Regions from separate parts of the Mus musculus genome. Here region 2 is reported to be linked to region 1. The links are microRNA targets in miRTarBase. Many come from high-throughput screens and were not tested one by one. Region 1 holds a microRNA gene; the other region holds the end of a gene's coding sequence.

Evidence for each region. Region 1 holds the annotated microRNA mmu-miR-224-5p (UAAGUCACUAGUGGUUCCGUU, at 1,794-1,814, shown strand). A microRNA usually pairs through its seed, bases 2 to 8, with sites in the 3' UTR of a target mRNA and lowers its output. Matches are read on the target gene's strand: a 7mer-m8 pairs with bases 2 to 8, a 7mer-A1 pairs with bases 2 to 7 and ends in A, and an 8mer does both.
Region 2: the mRNA of Nphp3 is a reported target of mmu-miR-224-5p. Seed matches in the 3' UTR shown: 7mer-m8 at 1,336-1,342.

The regions. Positions count from the first base shown.
Region 1 is chrX:72,257,723-72,262,898 of GRCm38, reverse strand. It overlaps Mir224 (microRNA 224), which reads left to right and starts at 1,787; the gene lies at 1,787-1,868. It overlaps Gabre (gamma-aminobutyric acid (GABA) A receptor, subunit epsilon), which reads left to right. Exons shown (of 9, transcript NM_017369.2): 6 at 317-454; 7 at 4,333-4,485; 8 at 4,615-4,814; 9 at 5,067-5,176. Mir452 (microRNA 452) reads left to right here and starts at 591; the gene lies at 591-675.
Region 2 is chr9:104,041,418-104,046,417 of GRCm38, forward strand. It overlaps Nphp3 (nephronophthisis 3 (adolescent)), which reads left to right. Exons shown (of 27, transcript NM_028721.3): 27 at 535-2,394. The coding sequence ends at 715. It also overlaps the pseudogene Gm18998. Among named protein-coding and RNA genes, the nearest start is that of Uba5, 19 kb to the right of the region's middle.

The DNA of each region.
Region 1 (5,176 bases):
TCCACAAGTGATCTTTCCCTACTTTACCAGTTGTTCCATGGGTAGAAATATTCAGAGCAACCCCAAGATTTAGAGTTCGATATTGCCTTGCTCAGTGAAATGTGAATGCTGGTTCACACCTTACTCAACTTTGCATTTGAAGCCCAGGGCAAATGTACTTATTGAATGCATTTTGACAACTAGGTCAGAGGCAGGGTCTCAAAGCTGGTGAAGCCAAAGTCAAAAGTCCAAAACATGGCTCAGGCTAACACCATGCTTGTGGGGCCCTCAACTTGGCTTCCCAGTCTCATTCACTCTTTCCCACTTTGATTTCCAGTTTCCTATGATGACAGTGAAATGATCTACAAATGGGAGAATTTCAAGCTCGAAATCAATGCGAAGAACACTTGGAAGCTATTGGAATTTGATTTTACAGGCGTGAACAACAAAACTGAAATCATCTCTACCCCATTTGGTAGGTGGTCAGTGGGAGCTAGAGCTGGGCAGAGTCTGAGGGAGGAGCACCAGTAACTGGAATTGGCTATTTGTCCAAATGCTGTGTAAAGAGGGCATGGAAACACTGTTGAGGGCATCACTCCTCTCTTATATATGCTAAGCAGTTACAACTGTTTGCAGAGGAAACTGAGACTTTATAACTATGTCTCAGTCTCATCTGCAAAGAGGTAAGTGCTTTGCCAAGCCCCTTGAAGAATGGGGTGAGTATATATATTTTTGTAACCTTCAGAATGTTCATCTAACTCTGGGTTTTAGATCCTTTGTATTCAGTGTCTTTGTTATATCACTAACTTACTTAGACAACATTGGAGACAGGTACTCGGGTGATTTCTCCAAACCCTGAATCAAGTCAAGCTGGTTGAGTGAGAAGCAAGAGGTAGAAGTGTGCCACTGACTGGGCCTAATCAGCCCCCCTCAACCTGTGGGAATCAGAGGTTTGGACAGATGGGCATAGAGTCAGCGGGAATTGACAGACACAGACATGAGAGAGTGTGCTGGATCTGAATGTATTTGTCAAATTGAGCATCAAACTTTTTATACAGAAGAAAATAGGGAAGTTGGGTGACACACCAGCAAGGTACAAAGAGGTTACTGGATTCTTACACAAGAAGCTGGAGTCATAATGGTAACTAGTGGGGGTTGGAGAGTCTGCAGGTAATTACTCAGCTGCAGTGGCTGGTACAGTAGCATTATCTTAAAGGAGCAACTCTGAAAAGCATGTATTTTCACCAAAGGCTTCATAGTGGAATCAACATAATCTTTGAAAATTTTCTGATCTTGTTCCTGACAAGGACAATAGGGGCAGATTCTGGGTCTCTTAACTTGTAACTCCTGAACAGATGTGAGCATCTTTGCTTATATTCCTAGGTGATCTGAATGAGGAGCCAAGGAGTCTTCCCAGGGTAGCTCTGAGAGCAACCCTGGACCTTCTTCACATGTACTGACAAGAATGTGGATGGAGCAGGTCACCCAGCCAGCCTTTTGTCATTTATTTTGCTTTGTGTCTGTGTGATGATGACATAAAAAAAAAAAAAAACCTGCTATTGCTACTGATGGTCACTGGGTGAGGGACAGCTTATGCTCATCTGACTAAAGCTTTGCTTACGTAGTACTAGGCAGGGAATGGGTGCTGCTTTTCCTTTTCCTGGGGCTCTGAGAAAGCCACTTTGCTTGCTTTGGCTTGGAATTCTTGCTCTTCTACTAGACAACTATGGGCCTGCCTCTTAGTACTTCAGTTTGTCCAGATAGGTGGAGCCCCATCATCAGAACTGGCAGAAGAGACAAGGCCCGGGGGCTTTTAAGTCACTAGTGGTTCCGTTTAGTAGATGGTTTGTGCATTGTTTCAAAATGGTGCCCTAGTGACTACAAAGCCCCAGAGCCAGCATCATCGGTGAAGCAATGGCAGTAGGTAAGCAACATCTCTTCCTGTGGAGAAAGAAGTAGGTCTTTTCCTTTGACTAGAAACTACTTATTCTGAATTCATAGTGTCTCCACTGTCAGTTATTTTTGAGTCAGGTCCCAACTCTCCCAGTTTGACACCAGGGCAGTTCTTCCTAGCTGGAACATACATGTACTCAATTTTCAGGGTTTTGAATGCAGTGGTGCCCTGAAACTTAGCCCACCTTGGACCTTAAAGCAGAGTTTCTGCTTCAGGAGCTTTTCAGAAAGTGCAGCCTTGTCTGTAGTAAATTAATCATCCTTCACTGATAGCTGTTGAGCCTCTAAGGAAATCTTGCCACGATCAAGAGGTCAGTGTCTTCTTGTAAGATTATTTTCTTCCCTAGACAGTTCCCCCCATTAGGAAATTCTTCTTTCTCATCTAAAATGGGAGTTTCTGGAATATTTCCCCATCAGATCTAGTTCTTTTCTCTTATAACTACCTGGCTTACATTAACTGAAGGTACTCTTCCAAAATCAAATGTAAAGCTCTTGGGTTGGAGCACACACTTGTATTCTATTGGGACTCTTCTCCCCAGTTCCTTTTCTTCTCTTGTTCTTCACTGCCTTCAGTTCACTAGTCCTCTGGACAGTCTTTTAATTGTGTCTTTAGCAGTGCAGCCCCCAACTATGATCTGGAAAAAGAGGTAAGAGCTAAAGTCATCTTTAATCAATTTTGTTTTGGTTTGGCTTTCAGTCCTAGATATGTCTCTTCCATTGGTATTGTTTCTTCACTCATTAGAATGAAGGAAATACATGTTAGTATCCTTTTCTTGTCAAATTTCTAGCTTTTAATAAATAAGAAAGTTTCTTCTTTAATCAGAATGAATAAATTTAAAGGATGAGAAATAAAACAGCACTATACATCTTGTGACAAACATATTAAGAAAATTTTTAATCACAGTCAAGACTCCAGGACAGATGGACTAATAATTTGGTCATTCTGGCAAGTAGTATAAAATGGTCCCTGGTTCAGTGCTAGAGGAATTCTAGTGTTAAAGATCCTACTATTCAGGCAGGAACTTTCCCACTGACCATAGCCATTTACTTGCCTTTCTCTGAAGAACCCAAGAAGCTTTGTTCCTCCAAGGTCAAGTCTTCCAACACTAGGAGGAAGGGTTGCTCTCAGTCTGTACTTGCCCACTCAGACTGGTCAGGCAGGTGGGCTGTTTTTTGTACAGTCTACAGTGTACACAGGGTTTGTGCCTGATTTCCAAGGTTATTTTAACCATGGGTTTCAAAAGTCACTGAGCACTATTGCTTGGTTGGTTAGGGGCTAAGCTGAAGGCTTTATATGAGCCCTTCCTGAAAGGAGCTTGAAGGTCCACCTAATTCAAAGTCACAGGTGGCTGTTTTTTCACAGAACTGGAAATTGAGGGCTTAGCTTCACAGAAAAATCCGTAGTTAAGACAATTTAATATCTAATGACATATGGAGAGAAAAAGTGTTCCTCTGGGCAAACTAAGCATGGAGTCATAATATTATGAAGAGCATCAGGAGCAGCATTAGGAACAGAATATGCAACTGGAAATACAAGTTTGACCAACTTCTGGAAGATCCATTCCTATCTAGAGTAAGTTCAAGAGAAGATCATTATGCCCAAGTGAATGTGACGGCCTACACTGCCTTCTGACTGAATATTCTGCAGATGTAACATCTAAAGCTTTACTGAAAAGATCATATTCATCTATTCTTCTGTTTTCCTACAACACTGAATTTATGTTAAGGAGTAATAGATTAAGAACAGTCGAGGATTTACTTACCAGGATAAATATATGTGCTATCTAAACTGGGAAGCAGTTCAGTTAGTTTTGGGTAAGGCATTCATGTGTGTATGCATATAGATGAGTCAAATCTAGTTAGGTCTTAGAATCAGAATGCATAGTATAGACTTTATTGTGTAGCTCATATATAGCAGAATATGTCATATTTGGCTAAACCAAGTAGGCATGCTGTGAGGGCTAGCAGTGCAGATAATACTGTAATATCACAAACTATACATTGCATTTCTATAGGTTGGAAGGTCTCAGCTAGCCATCAGCTATTAAGTCAGGGTACCATGAAAGCAAAGGTTATGGGGTTGGTTTTTATTTGTTTGTTTTTGTTTTTAACTTTCCTCTCACTACTACTACTCTGGGATAAACAGATTTTGGGAGAGTGAATCAGTTAACTGAAAGTGGGTTTATTAATACTCTTGTACTGGCTTATCTCTCAACTGGCCATGGGTATTACAGTAAATCTCCTCTCTGAGCTTCTACTGAGCTACACTGAAATAGTGTGCCTTTATTCTAGAACTCTGGAAGGGTTTCCCACGAGCTGGACAGTGGGATCCATGATATATGTGCCATTCTGGACATCAGGCCAGTACTGCAATGCAGAGGTATATTTGATGTCTTTCAGGTGACTTCATGGTCATGACATTCTTCTTCAATGTAAGCAGGCGGTTTGGCTTCATTGTCTTTCAAAATTATGTTCCTTCTTCTGTCACCACAATGCTCTCCTGGGTCTCCTTCTGGATCAAGATAGAAGCTGCTGCTGCCAGGGCCTCTGTAGGTAAGAAAGTATGGCGATCTTAATTAAACATGGGCATATGTCATAAATTAACGTTGACCAAGGGAAGTATTTGCCTTCTCCTGTTGTCCTGTCAGAAGCTTAGCCCATCTTCACTCTTTGTTCTTATAGGGGTCAGTTCTGTGCTCACCATGGCCACGCTGGGTACCTTGTCCTGTAAGAATTTCCCTCGTGTCTCCTATCTCACGGCTTTGGACTTCTATATTGCAATTTGTTTCGTCTTGTGCTTCTGCACTCTGCTAGAGTTTGCTGTGCTCAACTTCCTGACCTACAATAATATTAAACGACAGGCTTCTCTAAAGGTCTACCAAGTAAGTACCAGGTGTTGGTATGGGAAGCAAAACTGTAGACTGAAGATACGAGGGTTATGGCATGTGGGTGGCTAACTTTCCAAGTGATAAGAGGTTCCCTGGGGTTATAGAGGAAATAAACCTGGTGTGATGGTGGGAATCCCAGAGGACCTAGAACTGGTGTGGAAAATGTAGTTTCTAGGAAATTCTGGGCCAGATTTCCCCTTGACTCATATTCCCTTTACCATTTCTCTTTCTTTTTCTCTATTTCAGCTTCCAACCAATAGCCGTGCTAATGCACGTACTCGTGCTCGTGCACGCACCCGCGCTCGTGCTCGTGCCCGTGCACGACAGCAGCAGGAAGTGTTTGTGTGTGAGATTGT
Region 2 (5,000 bases), not on the chromosome of region 1:
AGGCTTACTTTTTGGAGGCGTGTACTGTGGACAGTAGTGAAGACAGCCTATACCAGCACTTCCTGCCTATGGGGTGACAGGGCTACGTACTAACCTCAGAGCTGATGAGTTAGGTGTGTGTTGAGTTTTGCTCACTCCTGTGCGTTCATCTCGGAATGCAGGTGATAACAACACTTAGCATTTTTTTATTATTTTTTTTTAATTAGGTATTTTCTTAAATACAGGGGAACACCAGGGCCAAGAAGTGAAAGTGGGTGGGTAGGGGAGTGGGGTGGGGTGGGGTGGGGGAGGGTATGGGGGACTTTTGGGATAGCATTTGAAATGTAAATGAAGTAACTACTTAATAAAATATTGGAAAAAAAGAAATGTAAATGAAGAAAATATCTAATAAAATTTTTTTTAAAAAAAGAAAGAAAAGAGTGCAGTGGGAATGGCAAATGAGTTGCAACTTGTTTTTCTGCACCTTGATGGCTACTTAGAAGCAAGAGTTTCTTGTTAATAGCAGTGCATCTCTCATGTTGTTTCCTCTCAAAGCTATGAAGAAGGGAATTTTGAAAAGGCTGCTGAACTGTACAAAAGGGCAATGGAGATAAAAGAAGCAGAGACATCACTTTTGGGTGGAAAAGCTCCTTCAAGGCAGTCATCAAGTGGAGACACATTTCTCTTTAAAACAACTCATTCCCCTAACGTTTTTCTTCCCCAAGGGCAAAGCTAACCGTCAATTCTTTGCAAGGATACTTCAAGATAAAACAGCTAAACATCTGGAATATTCTCAGTGTTTTTAAAGAAAATCTTTTTTTTCCATCTTAGTGTTATTTAGCTGGCATTTATATGACGTTGTATTGAGTTGCATTGAATTGTCGTGTCAAGTTTAAATTGATTAAAGAACCTGTTTCCTATGGGATAAAATCCAGGATGACGACATCAGCACTCAGTGGCATGAGGAGTGGCTTGGTCTCTGCAACAAGAGCTGGCAGGACCCCATGGTTTAAGAAATCCACAGTTCTTTTCTCTCCCTCAAGAGCAGCCTTAGCTCTGGCCATTCACTGTCTGTTCCTAGCAGGGCTCTGAGCCAGTTCTCTACCTCAAAGAACTTTCAAGGGCTAAAGGGATGTTGATAATATAAATAATATAAAGGGATGTTGATAATGAGTCGGAACAGTCTTCAGTGAAACGAGCTAGATAGGAACTCTGTTTGTTTTCCTTTTTCTGGGTTTGTGTGTGAGGATGTGCGCGCGCGCGCACACACACACACACACACACACACACACGTGTGCATGTACACATGGAGGACAGAGGTCAGCCTTGGGTATCATTCCTCAGGCGCTGTCCACCGTGACTTGTTTTTGTTTTTGGTTTTTGAGACAGGGTCTCAGTGACCTGGTGCCCTTAATTAGTCTGCCTGGCAGTCCACATCCTAGTGACCCACACCCCTGCCTCTCTCTCCTAAGACCGGAGCACAAGCTTCCATCTCTACCCCCAGTTCTCTAAAGTGGGCTCTGGGGGTTGAACTTGGGTCCTTATGCTGACATGGCAGACGCTTCACAAACTGAGCTATCACCCTAGCCTCTTACCACATTGTGAATCTCTGTAGCTCGGGGTGACCATGAACTCTTGATCACTCCCCACTCCCCCGGAGTGTTGGGACCACAGAGGCATGCCTCCACAGCTGGCTTGGCTTTTAGGCCTTCCTCTTCCCTAAGCTGGTTTAGCCAGCCTCCGCTTTCTGTGCTGTCTCCAGGAAGCTTCTCACAGTGCTGCAGCGTCGCCAGTGACAACATGCGTGCCACCACAGGTGCCAGTGACGACATGCGTGCCACCACAGGTGCCAGGCTCTTTACCATTCTCATCTTGCTTACTGTGGGACAGGTCTAAAAAGTCAACTACTCGTGAGCTGAGGCACAGGTTTTCAAGGTCAGTACCAGCTTAGAGTATGGGGTGAGTTCAAGGCCAGCCTGGGCACCTTAGTGAGACCTTGTCACAAAATAGAATAGAGCTGAAGGCACAGCAGTAGAATGCCTCGGACCCTGGGTTTAGTCCTCAGCACACACACACATACAAAAAGCCATGACAAATCCATTTCCTTCGTAAATGGTCAAAATCAGTCTTGCCTTACCTCGCTTAGTTGGTGTTTTTATACTGGAAATTAAATATTTTTATAGATTTGATAAATATTGCCACATTTTAGATATTTGTTTTTATTTGTATATAGTAAAATTTTCAATGATTTAAAATCTTATAAGATCTCAATATGTATTATTGTAAAGATGACAGGCATAAAAAATGTATGTTTTAAAATAAAAGTGTAATTGCAAGTTCTCTCATTTTGCAGTCTGTATTAGAGGGCTATTTTGCATAGTTATTTAAGAATAAACTTTGAACATGTTTCAGCAGACTTGAATTTTGGCCAAGTTTAGTCAATAGTTTGCTCAACTTGAAGAACTGTGGTGACCTCAGGGTGTGCCCAGTGTCACCAACTCCTGGTGGATGCAGAAGCCAGTATCATCACCAGCCAACACTTACTTACAATTTAGACGTAACCTTGAGGTCCCTCCCTGAGCCCGCTCAGAAGCAGCCTGAGAGCTAGGTGGCCAGGTCAGTCCTGCCAAAGCTTTGAGTTTAGGAAGCGTCGCTAAAGTCTACACACTTGTAAGTTAAATTAGACAGGACATGACAAAATGAGCTTTCTTCTTCCACCTTCTGAGGGAGGCTCAGAGGAACTAAAAAGCTAAAATATGACCATAACCTATCTTTGGAGTTTGCCCCCTCTGAAAGGTACAAATAACAGAATTCATAAGCATATTAGACATTGATTTTTACAACTAATATATCAAAGCTTAAAATCTATTTCATGACTAATGTAATACACTAAAAGTATAGTATTAATCACCTTTTTAAAAAAAAAACTTTAAATAATCTGTGACCAGTACTCTAAAAGACTCTTCAAATCAGCATAGTCTTTGTTCTTCTAAAACTTAGATCTGAGAATTATACAAAATATTTTAGAAACTGCAGTGATATCTCATTGACTTTATGGTACAAATGATAACAGAAGTGGTCACTAAATTACATATTTCCTTTTTTTCTAAATTAAACATTCAAATTTAGTACATAATAAGATCATGATTTTACCATTTATTGCACTAACTGTGTTCTTTGCCTCATGAGAATGCTAAGAGCACCTGCACCAGACATTTGTGTGAGGATGTGTGATTCCCAAGCAGTAGGATACGCTCCCATTAACAGATACTTGCTTCACATATATTGGTGTTAGCATAGATGTGATTCTCAGATTGTGTTCATGCTAACATACACCCCCCACACACAGTGAAATGGTAATTTTCAGACACTCCCTAATAAAGAGCTGGCAGGAACCAAACTTTGCTCTAAGTTGTCTTCAGTACTTGACAGAAGGGGAATCATGAAAAGCAGAATTGTCACCTGGGGAGGTCAAGGCTTCTCTGACATAAAGTAGCTGCCTTTTCCTCTGGTTCTACATTTGTGGGTGTCCAGGATGATGAGAAGAAACCCCAAAGATCTGCGCGGAGCCACAGATCACCTTTCTGCTAGCAGTAAGGAGCCAAAGCTGTGACGGGCTTTACTGCCTAGACTCAGACTCTAGAGTCAGTGCTAAGACGGTGAGGGACTCCTTGCCTTTGTTAGGACCCAGTGTGTAGAAATTCAGCTGAACGGCTAGAAGCTCTCTGACAATTCTCATCCACTGCCTGCTGGCCCTCGGGCTCTGTGGCTGCAGGCTACAGGGAGAACTCTATTGGCTCACAGGTGCCTGCTGCCTACTTGGTTTTGTTTGTTTGTTTGCTTGCTTGCTTGCTTGAGATAACCCAGTAGTGAACTACTGGGTAAGAGGGAAAAAAAGAAGAAGAAAAAAGAGAGATACATTAGAATTTGGTACAGAAAGCAGATCTTTAAAGGATGATGGATCCTATGTGTTATGCCTTAACAAAACCTGAAAGTTCAAGACTTGATTAAACCTTAGAAAATTCATGGACCATTAATTCTAAAGAATTATTCTAGAAAAAAATGTACCTCATCTTAAAATTTACAACATGTCTAGTGATTTAAAGTTATTCTCCAATCCAATATGCTTAAGTTCTGTTAAAACATTTGTAAAAATTTATCATGGCAACATAAATGTTAAGTTTCAAAGCTAGAAGCATTCAACTTCATTATAAATATAAAAATCACCTATAGAGGCAGGCTCGTGGACCAGTGACACCCAGAAATTAAAGAGTTTTTTGGGACCTGGGAGGTCACAGACAGCTGTTCAGTGGCTGTCATCATGCCACAAAATGAATATACTGTATTGCACCGCAAACAATATGGATATCGTTCGGACTACCATGAGAAAAAGAGAAAGAAAGAAAGGTTGGGAGGCCCATGAGCATTCAAAGAAGGCAAAGCTTTACCATAAAACAGCGCCATGCCCAAAAAATACAAGTGAAAAAAAACTATTAAGATGCATGAAAAGAGAAACACCAAGCAGAGAGAGGGATGATGGGAAGACTCCACAGGGAGCAGTCCCCGCCTGTCTGCTGGACAGAGAGGGGCAGTCCAGAGCAGAAGTACTTCCCAACAGGATTAAGCAGAAACAAAAAGGAAAGGTGGGAAAATGGAAGGTCCCTCTCCCAAAGTTCGTGCCCAAAGAGAAACAGAAGTATTGAAAGTTATTCAAACAGGAAAAAGGAAAAAGAGGGCATGGAAGAGAACGGTTACTAACGTCTGTTTTGTTGGTGATGGCTTTACAAGAAAACCACCTAAGTATGAAAGATTCATTAGGCCTATGGGTCTACGTTTTTAAAAAGCCCATGTCACGTACCCTGGGCTAAAAGCCACCTTTTGCCTGCCTATACTTGGTGTGAAAAAGAATCCATCATCCCCATTATATACAACCCTGGGTGTGATCACCAGTGAAGTGAATGTGAAGGGTGCACCAATGCGGTCTTGCTGGTTTGACAGTGACGTCACTCATACACGTCATT